2 linked regions of the Anolis sagrei genome follow. The protein of the gene in region 2 interacts with the protein of the main gene of each other region in a pairwise test. Links are inferred from orthologs where the notes say so. Each region holds a gene or a part of one and is shown on either strand. Other genes may lie near its edges.

Region 1 (10,335 bases), on a different chromosome or scaffold from region 2:
GGGCCTGAGGCTGTTGGGAATGGTGGGAGTTGGAGTCCAAAACACCTGGAGAGCCCAAGTATGCCCAGGCCTGGTTTAGACTTTTTTTAAAGCTTCACACTGTTGACTCGTGTTCTGCTTGTGGTCTATCAAGACTCCTAAATCCCTTTCACATTGACTGTTTTCAAGCCAGGTGCCACCCATCCGATATTTGTACATTTTGTTTTCATTGCCTAAGTGTTGAAAGAAATTTTGTTAAGTTCTCTAGTCTGATCCTAAGCTCTGGGTTATACGCTATCCCACCCAATTTAGTGTCATCTGCACATCTGATAAGAATGCCTTGTATTTCGTTACCCAAGCTGTTGATACAGATGCTGAACAGCAGGACAGAACCCTGTGGTCTGGTCACTTCTTCCCATGATAAAGAGGAACCACGAGGGAGCCGCCTTTGTGTTTGGTCGCTCAACCAATCCCCAATCCACCTGACAGTTGCATGGTCCAGCCCACCTTTTCCTTGCCAATACAGGCAGTCCCCAAATTACAAGCAGGAGAGGTTCTGTAGGTTTGTTCTTAGGTTGAATTTGTATGTAAATCAAAACACTTACCTTTTTGAGTGTAAGTCCAGCCAAATATATATATATATATATATATATATATATATATATATATAGCTGTGGTTAGCATAGGGAAGGGTTAACATTCCTGTGGTGTTTGTTTTGCTCTTGATGACCCTGTTCAGAAGATTTCACCTCGCTTTCTGTCCCTGTGAGAACTGGATTTTGAAAAATTGGGCTTGTTGTGGAAACAAGGATTGGTGATAAATATGTTGTTGAAGGCTTTCAGGGCTGGAATCACTTGGTTGCTGTGCATTTTTCAGGCTGTATGGTCATGTTCCAGAAGCATTCTCTCCTGACGTTTCACCCACATCTATGGCAGGCATCCTCAGAGGGTGTGAGGTTCGCTGGAATACTAAGCAAGTGAGGTTTATATATCTGTGGAAGGCCCAAACACAAATCAAGGAACATGAAAGGCACTGCAGACTAAATCAACCAGAGAAGTTAGCCATGGCAGAGCACTTGATGAATCAACCTGGAAATAGCATATTATTTAAGAACACAGAACTGCTGGACCACTCTAACAACCACCATGTCGGACTACACAGAGAAGCCATTGAAATTCACAAGCATGTTGACAATTTCAACAGAAAGGAGGAAACCATGAAAATGAACAAAATCTGACTATCAGTATCAAAACAAACCTCTAAAAGAGGGACAGTAAATAGAGAGCAACACTCAATAAATAGGGTAATTCCAGACAAGAAAAATCAGGGCCAGCTAACACCTCCCAACAAAGGATTCCCTCAGGCAGGAATCAGCCAGGCTTTGGCGTTACAAGGTTAATAAGGTGGTCAATTGCAACATTCACACTTGCTTCTAACAGACAAGAGTTCTTTCTCTCACCCTGGACATTATTCCACAGATATATAAACCTCACTTGCCTAGTTTCCAACAGACCACTCAACCTCTAAGGATGTCTGCCATAGATGTGGATGGAATGTCAGGAGAGAATGCTTCTGGAACATGGCCACACAGCCCAGAAAATTCACAGCGCTCCTTGGTGATAAAGCTTGAGAGGAGACATTTTTTCCCAATGATAATAAGTCAACCAGGAGTGATTTGCCTTTCCTAGGGGTAGATTTCGATCACTTCCTACTGTTTCACCCCCATTCTTAATGGTGAGTTGGATGTTTGCAACTCAGGGACCATCTATATCTTTCTTGAATTGTGATGAAACAGCATCGCAGGTGAGGAAGTTCATAGAGTGGGGTGGGGATGACTTCTTAGATCTAGAGACCTGATAGATCAGGCCTGGGCCAACTTGGGCCCTTCAGGTGCTTTGGACTCCAACTCCCACTATTTCTAACAGCCTCTGACCCTTTTCTTTCCCCCCTCAGTCACTTAAGTGGTGCCTGAGGCTGTTAGGAATGGTGGGAGTTGGAGTCCAAAACACATGGAGGGCTAAAGTTTGCCCATGTCTCTTCTAGAGGGAACTCTTCTCTAGGCATTTAGACATCCTCCAGTGTGATTCTGTGGTTGTACAGGAGTTGGGCTGGAGGACCCAGAGAAATCTTCTGTCAGAAAAAAATGCATTTTAAAAAATGTGTTGTTTCTCCACTTTTGTGGGGGTCCTGTGCTGGAGGGCCCAAGTTCACCCATAAGTGGCTGAGGGGGAAAAGGAAGGGAGCTGAGGCTGTTAGGAAAGGTGGGAATTGGAGTCCAAAATACTTGGAGGGCCCAAGTTTGCCCATAATCTGCTGAGGGGAAAAAAGAAGGGGCCTGAGGCTGTTGGGAATGGTGGGAGTTGGAGTCCAAAACCCCTGGAGGGCCCAAGTTTGCCCAAGCCTGGGGTAGATGCACTCTATGCCTTACTGAATTCAGTGGGACTTGCAATTGGCCCTCTGCATCCACAGGTTGAACCTTCTGTGGATTGAGATCATATTTGTATCCAACAGACAATGATTGGAAAACAGCAATCACCTCTATCAACCAATGATTCAGTCAGGTAAGTTATAATGAGTCTATGGCAGGCCTAGGCTATGGGTGCTGTGTGGAAGTCCAAAACACCAGGAGGGCCCAAGTTTGCCCATGCCTGCAATATAGGGACACAGTCACTCTATTTGCCTGGCTCTTCCTTTCAAAGGATGACACAAGAAGAGCAGTACTGATCCTCGCTTAAGCGGCTGAGGGGGAAAAGGAAGGGGTCTGAGGCTGTTAGGAATGGTGGAAGTTGGAGTCCAAAACACCTGGAGGGCCCAAGTTGGCCCATAAGTGGCTGAGGGGGAGAAGGAAGGAGCCTGAGGCTGTTAGGAAAGGTGGGTATTGGAGTCCAAAACACCTGGACAGCCCAAGTTTTCCCATAAGCAGCTGAGAGGGGAAAGGAAGAGGCATGAGGCTGTTAGGAATGGTGGGAGTTGGAGTCCAAAACACCTGGAAGGTCCAAGTTTTCCATAAGCAGCTGAGAGGGGAAAGGAAGGGGCCTAAGGCTGTTAGGAACGGTGGGTATTGGAGTCCAAAACACCTGGAGGGCCCAAGTTGGCCCATAAGCGGCTGAGGGGGAGAAGGAAGGGGGCTGAGGCTGTAAGGAACGGTGGGTATTGGAGTCCAAAACACCTGGAGGTCCCAAGTTGGCCCATAAGCAGCTGAGGGGGAGAAGGAAGGGGCCTGAGGCTGTTGGGAATGGTGGGAGTTGGTGTCCAAAACACCTGGAGGGCCCAAGTTTTCCCATAAGTGGCTAGGGGAGGAGAAGGAATGGGGCTGAGGCTGTTAGGAATGGTGAGAGTTAGAGTCCAAAACACCTGGATGGCCCATTATTATTATTATTATTATTAGGAAGGGGCCTGAGGCTGTTAGGAAAGGTGGGTATTGGAGTCCAAAACACCTGGAGGGCCCAAGTTTGCCCATAAGCGGCTGAGGGGGAGAAGGAAGGGGCCTGAGGCTGTCGGGAATGGTGGGAGTTGGAGTCCAAAACACCTGGAGGGCCCAAGTTGGCCCAGGTCTGCTATAGGCGCAGCTTTGGGCTCCTGCTGAGCCTGAAAGTGCCCGAAGTGGTCAGAGCGCCTCCTCCCTCCCTCTCTGGCTTACCTTGCAGGGGAAGAGGACGGCCGAGGCCACCTTCTCCATGGCCAGGTTGCGGATGCTGGGGGTGAGCGACCCCCGGCACGTGGGGCAGCAGCTCAGCTTCTGCCGGCATTGGTTGCAGACCAGGTGCCCGGCCTGGCACTGCAGGATGGGCGGCAGCACGTAGTCGAAGCAGACGGGGCACTCGAAGAGCGAGGTCAGCTCGTGGTGCTGCGGGGACGAGGACGAGGAGGACGACGACACCGGGCCCCCTCCGCCGCCTTCCCCGCTGCCGCCGCCTCCCCCTCCTCCTGCTCCGGGGCTGGAGAGCCCGGCAGCGGTGCTGGGCAGGGCGGAGGAGCCGCCTCCGGCCGCAGAGATGGCGGCAGCGTTGTTGGTAGCGGGAGGCGCCGCAGCCGCTGCTGGAGACGGAGCCGGAGCGTGTGGTGGCGGCGGCGGCTGCTGCTGGGGCTGCTGCTGCTTGCCGCAGGTTTTGCTAGCGCTGGGTCCGGCGGAGGACGGGCGGCTCATCTCGGCCGGAGCCAACCATCGAAGGGCGCGAGGCAAGCAAGGGAAGGGAAGGGGACGCAACCCGAGGCGCGCGCTCCGGGGGGAGGGAGGGGAAAGCGAGCCAGATGTTGCCAAAACAACCCGTCAAATGGGAAGCTCCCAAAGAGGACGCAGCAGCCCCGTGCCGAGCAGAGCCCGCCGTCCAGCCCGAGCGCAGGGTCCTTCCCACTGCGCGTGGCTCCTTCTGGGCTTCTCTCCCCACCCCGGAACCTGGATCTGACGTCAGTGAAGGAGGGAAAGAGGGGGCGGCGTCGAAGCCACCCACCCAGCGCGCCCCAGACTGCGCCCGCGATCCTTGCCTGTCTCCAGGCGCAACCACAAGCACGCAGCGGCCACCTTCCCTGTCGCAAGAACCGCCTGCTTTGCCGCCGGGAAGGAAACGAGGAGGGAAGAGGCGAGCGATCTTCTAGAAGTCGGGTGGCGCAGCGGAGTCCCAATAATACGGCTTCCTTGAGCGCCACCTGCTGGCCAGTTGCCTCCCTGCCTGCTTGCCTGCAGCCCAGAGGCTTCCCAAACAGCTGTACTGTTGGGATGTTGTAGGTCAGCGCTTCCTAATAGTACAGTGATTCTCAACCTGAGGTCTCCACAGGGGCGGCTTGTCCATTACGCAAAGTAAGCGGTCGCAGAACACTTTTTTTTTTTGCCAGGGGCGCAGAGGCACCTCTGTAAATGCCCCTCCACCACCACTTGAGGAGCGCCCCCTCAGCTCACAACAGCCCTAGCAGTCCGGGGGGAGCCTCGGCTTTCTTGCCTCGCTGCCGGGCGATCCTCTTCTCAAAGGGGCCGGGCCCTTGAGCCTCGCCTCTCTCGTTCCTTCTCCACCTGGCCACCGGGTGTGCGAGCAGAACCGGCGCTCAATCGTTCTCCGTGTTCGATCCCTTCCCCATGACCGGCTCCCTTTCCCGATCCCCTGGCGCTCCACCCACCTCCTCTCCTCTCCCCAATCCGCGGGTAGGCCAAGGGGCTGAGCCGCCGCGCCTGGCTCGCTTCGGGTCCGGAGGCGTGTCTGAGACCCCAGTGTGCGCACCAAAAGTCGCCTCTTCTCCTGACTTTCTCTTCAGCCATTGGGACCAAGAGAGAGAGAGAGAGAGAGAGAGACCCTCCGGCTGGAGGTATCTCCCACCTCTGCTCCCTCCTTTGTTTTTGCGCCTACCTTCAGGAAAGGTGGGCATCTCCACCTCTGTCTCTCTCTCTCTCTTGGTCCCAATGGCTGAGGAGAAAGTCAGGAGAAGAGGTGACTTTTGGTGCACACGCCGGGGCATGCCTCCAGACCCAAAGCGGGCCAGGCAAGGGAGCAAGTGCAGCAAATGTAGTTACTAGGATGTATAGTTCACCTACAATCAAAGAGTATTCTGAACTCCACCAATGATGGAATTAAACCAAATATGGCACACAGAACTCCCACGACAAACAGAAAATATATATCAATGATTGGTTGGGGGGGGGGGGGAAATACTGTTTGCTTACCGTTGAAAATTACTTAGGGCCGCCTCTGGGTCCCCAGATGTTTTTGGTCTTCAACTCCCAGAAATCCTAACAGCTGGTAAACTGGCTGGGATTTCTGGGAGTTGTAGGCCAAAAACATCTGGGGACCCACAGGTTGAAAACCACTGTAATAGTATGATAGCTGGGTCTGGAAGCTCCAAGCATTACGGAGATGCCGCATCACTCCTTTGGGAGCGCTGTTTGGACAAGAGAGACTTAGCTAATGTAAGCCAGGTTGGAGACAAATAATATAGAAGGAATGTAAGAGTTCTTTGATGGTGAAACCCTAACCCGTTGTGTGTAGGTTTTTCGGGCTATATGGCCATGTAAAGAAGCATTTTCTTCTGACGTTTCACCTGCATCTATGGCACGCATTCTCAGAGGTTGTGATGTCTGTTTGAAACTAGGCCTGATCCTTAGTTTTTCCAAATTTCGTGTGTCTTGGAACAGTTTCTCCTCCTAGAGATGTTCAATGTATTGTCGAAGGCTTTCATGATTGGAATCACTGGTTGTTGTAGATTTTCCAGGCTGTATGGCCATGTTCTAGAAGCATTCTCTCCTGATGTTTCACCCACATTTATGGCAGGCATCCTCAGAGGTTGTGAGGTTTGTTGGAAACTAGGCCTGCTCCTTAGTTTTTCCAAATTTTGTGTGTCTTGGAACAGTTTCTCCCCTTAGAGATGTTCAATGTATTGTCGAAGGCTTTCATGGCTGGAATCACTGGGTTGTTGTAGTCTTTTCAGGCTATATAGGCATGTAATAGAAGCATTCTCTCCTGACATTTTGCCTGTATCTATGACAGGCATCCTCAGAGGTTGTGGGGTCTGTTGGAAACTAGGCCTGCTCCTTAGTTTTTCTTCTAGAACATGGCCATATAGCCTGAAAAACCTACAACAGCCCAACAGATGACTATCCGAACTCTGTTTACACAGTATTCCCAAGTCTCAATTCCCAATTGATGCTTAGGTACAACTCTTTGCCAGTATAGCTAAGAATGATGGGACTTGCAACCTAGTTGTGTTAGTGGTGAAACTGGAAAATCGCAGAGTTTGAGAAGACCGCAAGGCCAGTCAGTCCAACTCTATTATGCAGAAATAAACAATAGTGGCCTTTCAGCCTCTATTTACAAAGTTCCAGAGAAGGAGACCTCTCCACTTTCCAAGGCAGCATATTCCATGACTGAACAGCTCTTACCATCAAGAGATTCTTTCTAATGTTTAGGTGGAATCTCTTCTTATAGTTGGACTCCACTACTTTGCACTGTAATTTCTAGTGCAGCAGAAAACACTGTAGAATTAATGCACGTTAACTGCCATGGATCAATGCTACAGAGTCCTGGGAGTTGTGGTTTGAGAGTGCACTCTTGGGCAGAGAAAGCTAAAGACCTTCTAAAACTACAACTACCATAGTTCCATAGCATTGAGCCATGGCAAAGTGTTGTCAAAATGCATTATATCTTCGGTGTAAATGCACCCTTGGGTATGAAGCACCAGTTGCCAATCTTGCTTAAACTTCTCTGTTGTATCATCCATAATGAGAATTGTCAGTTTGTGCATTTCCTCTAGGTTGTACATCTTCAGCAGCCAATCCTCTATTATTTTAGTGCGCAAATTTAAGTTCAATGTGAAAGGATTTCCAGTTGTTTCAGTAGCATCTTGAATACACACTGTTAAATCAATTTAGTTTGCAACAATTACCAGTAAAACTATTTAGTTTCTTGTCATGAAACTGTTACCTGCAAATTCAGGGACACCAAAATATTTCTGATGGTTATTTGACAAATGATACAATACTTACACAAGATGTTGTTGATGTTCTTTCCTCCAACAGGAAGTAAACAGAATGAGAGCAAAACCAATCCAGGGACAGCAATGGTTCTGATTTATTGCAGAGATACTTTTTTGTGACAGCTGGGTCAGTTCTGGGAAAAGATATTTGTTTGGACTGTAGCTCCAAGTGACCCTGTTGGCTGGGAGCATTGTGAGCTGAAGTTTCAAAAAGTGCTTGAAACTTTGGCCAATTCAAACCTGACCATTGTGTTTACAGATCTGGAAGGCAAAAGCATTCAGTTGAATGAACAGCATTAATCTGAGTGTCCCAACACTTGACTTGGCTGAGGTTATATCTCTTTTCTGATTTTCCCATTTTCCTGTGCATTTAACCATTCTTACTGAAGAAGTGAGTCATGTTAGCAGTGGTTTAAGTGGATGTGAAATAATTGTTCTGGATCCACTCAGAAATAGGTTGCTGGCTTTTAGATTGAGCTTCCACAAAGAATAGAATGTAGATCAGGACAAACTTTGGCTCTCCAGGTGTTTTGGACTTCAGCTCCTACAATTCCTAACAGCCTCAGACCTCTTCCTTTCCCCCCTCAGCCATTTAAATGAAAAGGACCTGAGGCTGTTTGGAATTGTGGGAGTTGAAGTCCAAAACACATGGAGGGCTGAAGTTTGCCCATGCCTGATGTAAATGGTATTTTGTGACTAGGTAACAGATGGAAAGACAACCAATGAGGTGTAGTAGCTTGAGCATTGGACTACAACATTGGTAAACCAGGGTTGAAATCTGTGCTCAGTGGAAACTCACTGGGTGATTTTGGTCAAGTCACACATGCATCCAGAGAAGGAAAAAGGCAAACTCCCTCTGAACAAACCTTGCCAAGAAAAATCCATGATAGGTTCACCATAAGTCAGAAATACATTTCAGGCACACAATAACAGCAGATTGGGTATCCTGTCTCTAACTCAGGTATAGATTTATTTTGGCGTGGGAGTCAAGAGGCCCTCTAGATGTTGTTGGACTGTAAAACATAGTATTTGTCTCCATTGACACTATTGGTTTGAACTCTTCTGATGAGCTGACTGTAATGACTGTAATAAAGTGAACTTGAACTTGAACTCTTGGAAATTACAGTTCAAAATCATCTCAAGTGCTGTACAATTCCCATTCTGATCTACCTTTGTGCCTTTACTACAGAAGACACTAGATAATCTCCTCCCAATGTGGCCACTTAACACCCCACAGAAAAAGAGAGAACATAGATTTGCACAGCATTCTGAGATGTATGTACAGACATAAATTTAAAAGCAATAATTGTTATTATTTAAAAAGCAACAAAAATGAGGTCTCTGTGAACCTTAATCACTAATGCAATTCATCTGGTGTATGGTTTCATGGACTTCAAACTCATTCTCATAGGTGAGGAATGTGGCCTTGGATGCAAAGAAAGCTGCAAAGGTCATGCATGTTTGGGTGGGGAGATAATAATTAGGGAGATAAAAGAACTCAAAATACAAACAATGTCAAAAGTAGCTTAACAATGATAATTAACAAATAGTAGCAAACCGGTTACACAGATATTTCCGTATTGAAAAGGTCATAACTATATGTGCTATTTTTTTAAAAGTTTGCCCACATGTAGGATATAATGGTGAATATCTTGAGGAATCTTCTAGAACATGTTGAGAGAGAATTATGTATTTCCAAATAGCAGCACATATTGGGGATAATGGATCATGACCTGTTAGGATCACAGACCATCAGGGGAGCAGAGCTTATTTGGTTATGAATGATCACTGGGCATGTAGATATTTTGTTTCTGTTTGGTGCTTTCAGCAGACAATGATGCAAGCAGACTTCTTTTAAAGATAACAAGGTTTGTTTACTGATAACTTCATGTATTTAAAGATACAGGCACATTTCTTGTCAAGGGTGAAATACTTCAGTAACATTTCAGAGAGTTTGTATCTTGAACTTATAATCTTTAACAGTTTCTTCAAAGACTATGCTGCTTTATACAGCTCTCTTTAGTAAGAGTTTACTTTCAAATAAAGCACAAGCCTCAACAGTTTCTTACTTTCTAACATGAGCTTCTGATGGTCTCTTGCATTGTGGTGCCCAGAATTGGACACAGTAGTCCAAGTGTGGTCTAACCAAGGCAGAATAGAGTTTCTGACCCATTTCCAAGATCCATGGCTTCATTACTGTAGAACAGGCATGGGCAAACTTTGACCCTCCAGGTGTTTTGGACTTCAACTCCCACAATTCCTACCAGCCTTTAAGAATTATGGGAGTTGAAGACCAAAACACCTGGAGGGCTGAAGTCTGCCTATGCCTGCCATAGAAGATTCAGGGTTTGGATTTTTTGGCTGATGTACATTATGGATCCTATTTTAGGTTAGTCCCTGATTTTGCTTATCCTGGTTTAAGGTGTCTAACATGCATTCCTATCTGCATTTGCACTATGCGTAATTTAAACTGTTTTTTGAACTGCCTTCAATCCACAATATGTGGTCAGTGTAGATGTACCCCTTGCTTATAGGTTTGCTGAGTCAAAGGAGAAATTTGACTGTATTTCTGGTAAGATATGGGTCCAAACTTCAGATCTGGATATGATTTCCTTATTGGTGTGATTCCAAGTAAACCTGCATGGAGTATTTCTCTGACTATCTACTTCTGGATTGTTTTGCTGTAAGCGATAAGAAGTAGACTGTTGTCCTTGCTGTTATTAAGGCAGCTGATAAGAAAGCACTCCATACTTTCCAAGTCACAACATTTGCTCAAAAGGCCAAATGAAAACTCTCTACACTTACCACCCCAGTCAGAAGAAGATAACTGTTTGTTTGTCTCCATTAGTTCTAAAACCCTTTTCTTCTGTTGAGCGTTTTGTTAAGAGAAGATGAGA
Region 2 (10,821 bases):
GGGTGCATCAGTTTGTATTTAAGTCCTTCACTGCCCATCTTCTTCTTCCCCACTCACTTCTCCCTGAATCACCCAGTCTCATCTCCTTCCTCAACACTGCAGAATCCACCGCACATAATCCCACAAGTCTAAGTCTGAATTTAAACTGGTGGTCAGTCAGGAGCTGAAGGAGTCAGCAGAGGAAAGAGGCAGATTTGTGTGGAAATTAAATTCCCGCTGACACTTGTGTTGGAATGATGAGCTACGGCTGAGTGTGTGTGACTCACGAGGATTCAAACCCTGGTCTCTAGTCCATCATATAAATCTCACCACCATGCTGGGTCTATGGATACTCTACAGGCATTATTGTACTAATTTTAATTTGTATGTTCCATTGAGTGCCAGTTTTGGGGGAATGGTTGGATATTAAGAAAGATAATAACAACAGCAATAACATCTTCTTTAATGTAAGAGTTTTAGGCCCGCCCTCTCGAGTTGCAAAAGAAAAAAGAACTTAATCCATTTAGTCACTGATTGTTCTAAACCACTCAACAAATTGTCTCTAGCTGCAGAATATGTGGCAGAAGAATTGAGGTATGCAGTAAAACAAGTGGAAAATAAGGATGAATAAGCATAGAAAAGCAGGTTCCCTTTCAAAAGCTAGTTTGATCATCCCAAAACAAATGGAATAGAATCCTAAATCAATGAATATTAAATAAAAATGAGCAGGAGTCATTATCACAACACAAATAAAACTAAACATTCTCCAATACTTAAACAAATAATGTTAAGAAAAGAGAATCAAGTACCTATTTTCATGTCAATTCATTTATTTAGAGAAATTCTACAAATACCATGGACCACCAACAAAACAAACAGGCAGGTCTTAGAAGCAATCAAATTTGAAGTCTCCCTTAAAGGCAGAAAATAACTGAACCAAGGTTATTATACTCTGGACACATCACGAGATGACACGACTCACTAGAAAAGATGTAAATGCTTGGTAAAGTGAAGGTAGTACACTAGGCACTCCATTTCCATGTGAGTTAGGGACATATCCTAATACAAAAGCTGTGAATAAAAAACCCGCTAATTTTCTTATGTGAGAGAACAGATCTTTATGAATCTCTAGGTCCTCCAGGGCTATTCAATTGTCAACTTTTGGAGGACCAATAGATTCCTAGAGATAATGTTTTAATGAAATCTGCAAAAAATCACATCTACAAAAATTAAACCTGCACATGTGGAGGGCCCATCTCAAATCAAATTGCTGGTGGGTTGACTCAATCAAGAAAGACAGGGCTCTAAGTCTGCAAGACCAGAGCTGGGCAATTAATAACCAAGTCTCTTGGAGATCTCTAATTCATAGCGTCATCATATGTCCAAAACAAATTAATGAAGCACAACCACAATGCCAATTCCATAATACACACCAGCATGAGAATGGAAAAAGCTAACAATATTTGAAATGTTTTCCAGCTGCTCAGAAAATCAGCATATTAATGTCACAAAAACCTTAGCCTCATGCATGACAACTTTAGAATGCAAGCCAGTCAACCATATTTGTTCAATAATTTCTCACAGTTGATGTAAGGCACTATATAAACACTAACAGTTAAAGTCTGTGCCTATCCACTTGGAAATAAGTCCCACTACATTCAACAGGGCTTTCTTCCAAATAAAGATTGCATAACTACAAAAGACTTTCAGTTAACTGGCACTATGGGGATTGGTAGATACTGGATAAATATAGTTTCTAGTTGCTTGAGAGTTACTATTAAAAAATAGACCTAACTAAAATAAAATCTCTATTGCCTCAATATTAATATTGAATACTGTAATGAAAAGCAAATTAAGACAAAGACAAACTTAATGTAACACAATTTTACTGTATTATACAAAAAGCTTTCTAAATGTTATTATTTCTTTGATTCCTTTTGCCAGTTGCTTGAGAGTTCTGGTTGCTTGAGTTCCAGGGCCCTTCCAGACAGGCCCTGATCCCAGGGTTTCTGCTTTAAACTGGATTATATGAGTCCCTACTGCCAGATAATTTGGGATAAACAGAAAATCTGGGATCAGGTCCTGGGATATAGGGCCTGTCTGGAAGGGCCTTGAGAGTCTACAGTATTACTAACTGCCCCTAGGAAACCAAATCTGGCCAACATTAAACTCAAATGTATCACAAGGATAAACAAAAATTATACAATCTGGAAAAAAAAATTTATAGGAAATTAAAGACCCTATTAACCTGAAGGACAATTCAAATTCAACAAAAGTTTCAAGTCCTCTTTTAGTTGCTATGACCCAAATCATTACAATCTGCTGTAACATTGGTTTCGGTTGCGGTTCAATGGGATCTCTTCGGACTTCTCACCTACTGGCCTGCATTAGATATGCCACTGCAACCTCTACTGCCTGTTTTTTAAAAAGTCTTATTGGGAAAGAACAGAAATACAACTCTTCAGTTTTATGCCCAATGAGATACAGCTTTGCTCCAGAGAACTATATGTGGATAGTAACATAGAATAGTAGCCTCGATGCAGGTGAAACATCGGGAGAGAATGCCACTGGAACATGGCTATACACCCTGAAAAACTCACAGCAACCCAGTGATTCCACCCAGGAACGTCTTCGACAACACAAAGCGATGTATCTGGCTCAATACACTTCTCACACATTAGGGGAAAATGTTCTTATGGAGAAGCAGCTAAGCAAGATGCTGTTCTAATTTTTTCTTTAACATGGAAGGATCATTTTTAGCAACAATCTTCAATGCACCTAAGGAGCTATCTGAGGGGCCCTTCCACATAGCCCTATAACCCAGAATTTCAAGACAGAAAATCCCACAATATCTGGGTTATCAGAGTCTACGCCACCATATATTCCAGTTCAAAGCAGAAAATGTGGGATTTTATTCAGCTGTGAGGGAGGACTCTGAGTCCACTTTGGGGAGATAAAATGGGGTATAAATAAATATAAATAATAATAATAATAATAATAATATCTGTGCAAATGAAAACCAGGGTCGACCCCTTTGGAATGCAATCCGTATTTTTTCTCCAGTTTGTAGAAACACTTTTATTTATTATTTAAAATTATTATTTATTTAAAACTTTTATATCACGATCTTCTCTACCTCTGCAGAGGGACTCAGACTGGCTAACAGCAAGGATTCAATGCTAACACTGAGAATCTAGGCATAATACACAATATTAAATTATCAATTAGATATAAAAATTACATAGGTAAAGGTTGTCCCCTGACATTAAGTCCAGTCATGTCTGACTCTGGGGTGTGGTGCTCATCTCCATTTCTAAGCCGAAGAGCCGGCGTTGTCCATAGACACCTCCAAAGTCATGTGGCCGGCATGACTGCATGGGGCGCCATTACCTTCCCACCAGAGCGGCACCTATTGATCTACTCACATTTGCATGTTTTCGAACTGCTAGGTTGGCAGAAGCTAGGGCTGACAATGGAAGCTCACACCGCTCCCCAGAATCGAACCTGTGACCTTTTGATCAACAAGCTCAGCAGCTCAGTGCTTTAACCCACTGCGCCACCAGGGGCTCCAAAAATTACATAGGTTACATAAAATTACATAGAAGCCGTTCACCAATATAAAATCATGTCCAACTCAATCCGTATGTCCAGCCCATATATTGTGATCAGTACCAATAGTCGATTGCTGGCCTCAAACATCATTCCGCAAAAGCACTGTTGCACAGCCAGCTTCCTAAAGGTCAGGAGGGAGGGGGCAGATCTAATTTCATTTGGGAGGGAATTCCATAGCTGAGGGGCCACCACAGAAAAGGCCCTGCAGAAAGTAAAAGCCCTTGCAGAGAGTCAAGGGCGGTACACCACCTTGTGTCTCTGATGATTGGAGAGGGCAGGTACCGCAGGCCTAGGCAATCCAGGTTTTTTGGACTCCAACTCCCACAATTCCTAACAGCCTTTAAGCAGCAGAGGGGGGAAGAGAAAGAGTCTGAGTTTGTTAGGAATTGTGGGAGTTGGAGTCCAAAACAACTGGAGGGCCCAAGTTTGCCCAGGCCTGTATTAAACGACCTGCGTTGTTGCATAAAGCGCCTCAGGAGGGCCTTTTCAGGCCAGCAAGGTTCCTGAGAGTAGCCTTAGAGACGCCTCGTTAAGGCCATTGCGTTTCTTTTGAGGCCTTCCCTCCCTGCCTCCCTCCCTCGAGGCCCCACCTTCCCTGGACTCGGTTCCGCCCTCGGCGCCACTCACCGACCGGCTCCCTCCTCCTCCTCCTCCTTCCCTCCCAAGAGGCCCCGTCCGGCTGCCTGCCCTCCTGCCTGCCTGCCTGCCTGCCCACCCCCGCGGTTTGTTTGGTTTCGAACCGAAAGAGTTCCGAGCGGGCGGCCTCTGAGGGAGCCCAGGCAGGCAGGCCCCAGCTCGTGACGTACTTCCGGCAGCCGGCACCGCTACAGGCACCACGTGACACCGCGTCGGCGCGTAGAGGACGCAGAGTATCGAGAGGGAGGTACGGGAGGGGGGTGAGTCTCTGTGTGAGGGAGCACGCATGCGCAGGAGAGGGGTTCCGCGGGGCCCGCGACGTCACGCGGCGCAACCATGGCAACCAGGCTCTAAATATATAAGTAGGCTGGGTGGGAACACGAAACCGTGCAGGCCTCTCTCTCTCTCACCCAGAATATCAAGGCAGAAAATCTCACAATATCTGCTTTGAACTGGGTTATCTGAGCCCACACTGCCATATATCCCAGTTCAAAGCGAGATAATGTGGGATTTTATCCAGCCTTGTGGAAAGGGCCACAGATAACCCAGTTATCCTTGGTTAGACCACATCTGGAATACTGTGCCCAATTCTGGGAGATGTTGATGTGGAATGTGTCCAGAGGAGGGCAACTAAAATGATCAAGGGTCTGGAGAACAAACTCTATGAGGAGTGGCTTAAGGACCTGGGCATGTTTAGCCTGAAGAAGAGAAGGCTGAGAGGAGATATGATAGGTAAAGGTAAAGGTAGTCCCCTGACATTAAGTCCAGTCATGTCTGACTCTGTGGTGTGGTGCTCATCTCCATTTCTAAGCCGAAGAGCCAGCGTTGTCCGTAGACACCTCCAAGGTCATGTGGCCGGCATGACTGCATGGAGCGCCGTTACCTTCCCGCCGGAGCGGTACCTATTGATCTACTCACATTTGCATGTTTTCAAACTGCTAGATTGGCAGAAGCTAGGGCTGACAGCGGAAGCTCACGCCGCTCCCCGGAATCGAACCTGTGACCTTTCGATCAACAAGCTCAGCATCTCAGTGCTTTAACCCACTGTGCCACCGGAGGCTCTGGAGATATGATAGCCAGGTATATATGTGAGAGGAAGCCACAGGGAGGAGGGAGCAAGCTTGTTTTCTGCTTCCTTGGAGACTAGGACGCGGAACAATGGCTTCAAACTACAAGAGAGGAAATTCCATCTGAACACAAGGAAGAACTTCCTGACTGTGAGAGCCGTTCAGCAGTGGAACTCTCTGCCCCGGAGTGTGGTGGAGGCTCCTTCTTTGGAAGCTTTGAAACAGAGGCTGGATGGCCATCTGTCAGGGGTGATTTGAATGCAATATTCCTGCTTCTTGGCAGGGGGTTGGACTGGATGGTCTATGAGGTCTCTTCCAACTCTATGATTCTCTGAGATGTTGATGTGGAATGTGTCCAGAGGAGGGCGACTCAAATGATCAAGGGTCTGGAGAACAAGCCCTATGAGGAGCAGCTTAAAGAGCTGTGCATGTTTAGCCTGAAGAAGAGACGGCAGGAAGAAGATACTGTGACGGCGCAGTATCTCCTGTAGAACTGTGGAACTGTTAGTTGCAAGATTTAAACTGTTGTATCATGCTTAATCCCGCCTTTTTACCCTGCTTATGTATAGTTGGATTGATTGCTTATTTATAGCTGTCAATCAGTGTTGTTTGCATCTGTTGAATTGCTTTCTCAAGCTCAATTGTTTGGCTCCACCTCTTCCTGGAGGAGGGGAGTGCTTCCTCCTGTTTTCATTCTGCCATCAGAGTTTCTATCAGATGGACTTGAGTAAGAGACTTGGCTCTAATAGCCCCTGATTAAATTACCTCTCAGCACCAATTCTAAGGTTTTTTACCCTTGGGACTCATGCTTTATGTCCAGATTGTCCTGGACAACATTGAGGAGACCCAAGTGCCTTCAAACCGGTTCTTTTGGCACCAGAGGAAGGTCTTGTCCCTTCAACATAGGCCATTGGACTGGGGTTGTGTTTATTCCGATATTCACAGCCATTGAGGAAAGAGGAAACAGGAAAAGCTTCTCAGCTGCAAACTCCTTGGACTTCAGAGATTGTAAAGTATATTTCCTTTATCCCTGTTGAAACATCAAGCTTATGCCTGAGAAAGATAACTCATTGTGAACAATGAATACAATTTCGAGTTATCTGTTGTGTTTTGGTCTTTGGGAGTTCCAGTTTCCTATAGGAGGGCAAGAAGCAATCCCCTGGGGAAAGATGCCACGTCCATGCCTCTTTCACTAAGAGTTATAGCCCGCAGGCGCGACGGCACAGATACGATAGCCATGTATAAATACGTGAGGGGAAGGCCTAGGGAGGATGGAGCAAGCTTGTTTTCTGCTGCCCTGGAGACTAGAATGCGGAACAATGATTTCAAACTACAGGAAAGAAGATTCCACCTGAACATTAGGAAGAACCTCCTGACTGTGAGAGTTGTTCAGCAATGGAACTCTCTGCCCCAGAGTGTAATGGAGGCTCCTTCTTTTGAGGCTTTTAAACAGAGGCTGGATGCTCAGGGGTGCTTTGAATGCAATTTTCCTGCTTCTTGGCAGGGGGTTGAACTGGATGGCCCATGAGGTCTCTTCCAACTCTATGATTCTATTATTTATTTGTTATTTATTTATTTATTTACAGTATCTATATTCCTCCCTTCTCACCCCACAGGGGACTGGGGGCAGATTACAATGCACATCTACATGGCAAGCATTCAGTGCCATTAGACATACAACATATATAGATAGACACAGAGGCAGTTTAACATTCCAGCTTTCCGGCTTCATGAGGTTATGCTCGATTCTGGCCACGGGGGGGGGGGGGGGGGCTGCCGCTTCTCCGACCTCCTGTGACACCGAGTCCTTGATGGAGCACTTCCTCATTCTTCTGCATGCTGCTGGAAGGTTTTATGGTGTCGTAAATTAGTCTCCCCGCATAGAGCGGTACCTAAATTTCCTACTTGACAGATGCAACTGTCTTTCAGGCTGCACAGGTCAACAGCAAGCTAGACTATTAATGGTCGGGAGCTCCCTCCGACACAGGTTGGCTTCGAACTCATGACCTCTCAATCAGGAGTGATTTAATGCAGCTGGCTACTAACTAGCTGCACCACAGCCCGGATTTTCTGCTTTAATATTCTGCATTCAGTGTCTGTGTGAAAGGGCTTTCCTACCAGGCCCTATATCCCAGGATCTGATCCCACGTTTTCTGTGCATTCCAGATTATCTGGAAGTGCGGACTCATTTATGTCATCAGTTGGGGGTCCCTCCCCCCAGCACCAACTGCGGCTCTGGGCCAGAGTGAAGAGAGAGGAGGCCAAAAGACAGTTCCACCTTGTCTCCTGTGCTATGCTAATAATATAATATAATGTGATGTAATACAATATAATACTACTAATAATATATTATAAATATATATTTTATATTACATGTAATATTACTAATAATATTACAATATAATGGTATAGTATGATATAGTAATATATAATACTGATATTGTACTATACTAATATATAAAATATTGTGTGTGTGTGTGTGTGTATGTGTGTGTGTGTGTATAAGCCGCTCTGAGTCTCCCCTTCAGGGTGAGAAGGGCAACATATAAATGTCGTAATTAATTAATTAATTATATAAAATCTGGCTTAAAGCAGAAAACCTAGAATCGGATCCTCGTATATAGGGCCTGCCTCGAGTCCACACTGCCGTATTACCCAGTTCAAAGCAGATAATGTAGGATTTTGTACAACTGTGTGGAAGGGGCCTTTGTATATTTCAACACTGGGTCATACTGTGAAATACATACATGGCCTGCTTCTGTACTCAGGCCCCATCTCCACCACTATACAATGCATTTTAACTACATTGGACCGGATTATATGGCCATGTGGGCTCATCTAATCCTGCTCAATATGATTAAACTAAATTCTGAAGCTATATAGATGAAGACACACTAGATGCATGTACACTGTGGAATGAATGCAGTTTGAAGTCACTTTAACTGCCCTGGCTCAATGCTATCAGATCCTGGGAGTTTTACAAGGTTTTTAGCCATCTCTGCCAAAGGGGACTTCACTAAACTACAAATCCCCAAAGTCCATAGTCTTGAGCCATGGCATTATGTCTACAGTATAATATGTACCCAGAAAGACACCTTCGCTTTGGTGTACTGAAGCACTTTCATGCACAAAGTAATTAAAAATATTGTATAAGAAATTGCCTTTGAGTTATGTGTACAAGGTGCTTGTGAAGTCAAATTGATTTCGTGTTAAGACTTGGTTTCCATCTCCCATGATATCTCATTATGCACATATATAAACAAACACAGGTATTCCAGAATTTAGAAAAGAAATGTGAACTCCAGTGTGGAAGTCGCATGGTTCGCAGTCGGGTCTTCGGAAAAATCAGAACTAATCATAGACTTAGAAAAGACACCCCAAAGGCCATTGAGTCCAACCCCATTCTGCCATGTAGGAATACACAAAGTCTCCACAACAAATGAATTTCAAGAAACATAGGATATTACACTTCGGTGGCAAAAAATGGAAATGCATAGATACAGGATGGGTGATGCCTGGCTCAACTTCAGTCCAAGTGAAAAAGATCTTGGGAGTCGTAGTTGAACATGACCCAGTATGATGCAACAACTTAAAAAGCCAATGGGAATTTTGGGCTCCATCAAGATCAAGGGAAGTTATGTTGCCTCTATATTCTGCTTTAGTTAGACCTTATTTGGAGTGCTGTGTCTAGTTCTGGGCACCATAGGTGAAAAGAGATATCAACAAGCTGGAAGGTGTTCAGAGGAGGGCGACTAAAACGATCAAAGGCCTGGTGACCATCAATACCCATGAGAAGTGGCTCAAAGAACTGGGTATTTTTAGCTTGCAGAAGAGGAGGTTGAGAGAAGACAGGATATCCATGTATAAAATATGTGAAAGGATGTCATAAGGAAGAGGGAGCAGGCTTGTTTTCTGCTGCCCTGGAAACTAGGACAAGAAAGAAGATTCCACCTGAATATTAGGAAGAACTTCCTGACTGTTAAGTGCTGTTCAGTGGTGAAACTCACTGCCTCGGAGTGTGGTGGAAACTACTTCTTTGGAGGATTTAAACAGAAGATGGATGGCCATTTTTCGTGGGGTGCTTTGATTATACTTTTCATGCATGGCAGGGGGTTGGACTGGATGGCACATTTGGTTTCTTCCAACTCTATGATTCTATTATTATGGGTTGGCTTTCAAGAATCCCATCTGACCAGAAAGGATTCTTATCATGTTATTTTGTTGCTGCCTCATAACCCCTTCCTATCTCATTGGTCTATCTGTTTCATCCTATGTGTAACACTTTGAACCACATTTAGGAATCCAAGGCCAAAATGTTTCTTTTGCATATGTAAAGGTAAAGGTTTCCTCTGACATTAAGTCTAGTCATGTCTGACTCTAGGGGATGGTGCTCATCTCCATTTCTAAGCCAAAGAGCTGGCGTTGTCCATAGGCACCTCCAAGGTCATGTGTGATCTACTCACATTTGCATGTTTTCGAACTTCTAGGTTGGCAGAAGCTGGGGCTAACAGCGGGAGCTCCCCATGCTCTCCGGATTCGAACTGCCGACCTTTCGGTCAGCAGCTCAGCGGTTTAACAAATGGTAATGAGTTGTGCAGGTTTTAATCCGATAAGGACTGGGTTGTGGCGCAGCTAGTTACTAGCCAGTTGCACTGACCAAGAGATCATGAGTTCGAAGCCAGTCCGGGTCAGAGTAAGCTCCCAACCATTAATGGTCTAGCTTGCTGTTGACCTATGCAGCCCGAAAGGCAGTTGCATCTGTCAAGTAGAAAATTTAGGTACCACTTTATGCAGGGAGGCTAATTTAACTAATTTACAATGCCATAAAACCCTCCAGCAGCATGCAGAAGAATGAGGAAGTAAGTATTCCATCAAAGGATCCTGTGTCACAAGTGGATGGTGAAGCGGCAGCTCCCCCTGTGGCCGGAACCAAGCATACCATCATGAAGCTGGAAAAAACTGGAATGTTAAATTGCCTCTGTGTCTGTCTATATATGTTGTATGTCTAAATGGCATTGAGTGTTTGCCATGTATATGTGCATTGTAATCCGCCCTGAGTCCCCTGCAGGTTATAAATACTACAAATAAATAAATATTGTTTAATGTGCTCTATTCTTGCTCTAGAGATCCTTGAATAAGTTGCAATTCAAGAGTTTAGAATAGTCACGCAAATCAAGAAACATAGCAGTTTGGCACAGAGAGCAATGCCACTTTATTCTCACACAAATATAACAAAGCCACTCTAGCTGGGACATTCGCTTACATAAAAGGCACAGTAGTGTGTAGCTAGGTCCCTCGCCTGCTCTTCTAGGTACTGTTCTCCTTGCTTTGGAGCTGGATGTTTTTAATTCAAGATGTTTCAAATAATATGAAAAAAAACAACAGAACATAGCATGGGAACCTTTCCTTTGGTATATCAAGTGCTTCCATATCCCCTGCTCTGGGTGCTAGTTGGAAAGCATTTAGTATAAGGCACCTTGGTGTAAGGCAGGTATGGGCAAACTTTGGCCCTCCAGGTGTTTTGGAC

Evidence for each region.
Region 1: the proteins of USP19 (region 2) and SIAH2 interact in a two-hybrid assay, tested with the Homo sapiens proteins (2 studies listed by BioGRID). The link is inferred for Anolis sagrei from reciprocal best matches to the Homo sapiens genes USP19 and SIAH2.

What each region holds. Positions count from the first base shown.
Region 1 is NC_090023.1:241,453,404-241,463,738, forward strand, and holds the start of SIAH2 (E3 ubiquitin-protein ligase SIAH2), read right to left. Parts: upstream 4,600-10,335; 5' UTR 4,128-4,599; coding exon 3,621-4,127; intron 1-3,620. UniProt on the Homo sapiens protein: E3 ubiquitin-protein ligase that mediates ubiquitination and subsequent proteasomal degradation of target proteins.
Region 2 is NC_090022.1:27,935,295-27,946,115, reverse strand, and holds the start of USP19 (ubiquitin carboxyl-terminal hydrolase 19), read right to left. Parts: upstream 4,422-10,821; 5' UTR 4,398-4,421; exon of another isoform or gene 4,219-4,397; intron 1-4,218. UniProt on the Homo sapiens protein: Deubiquitinating enzyme that regulates the degradation of various proteins by removing ubiquitin moieties, thereby preventing their proteasomal degradation. Stabilizes RNF123, which promotes CDKN1B degradation and contributes to cell proliferation.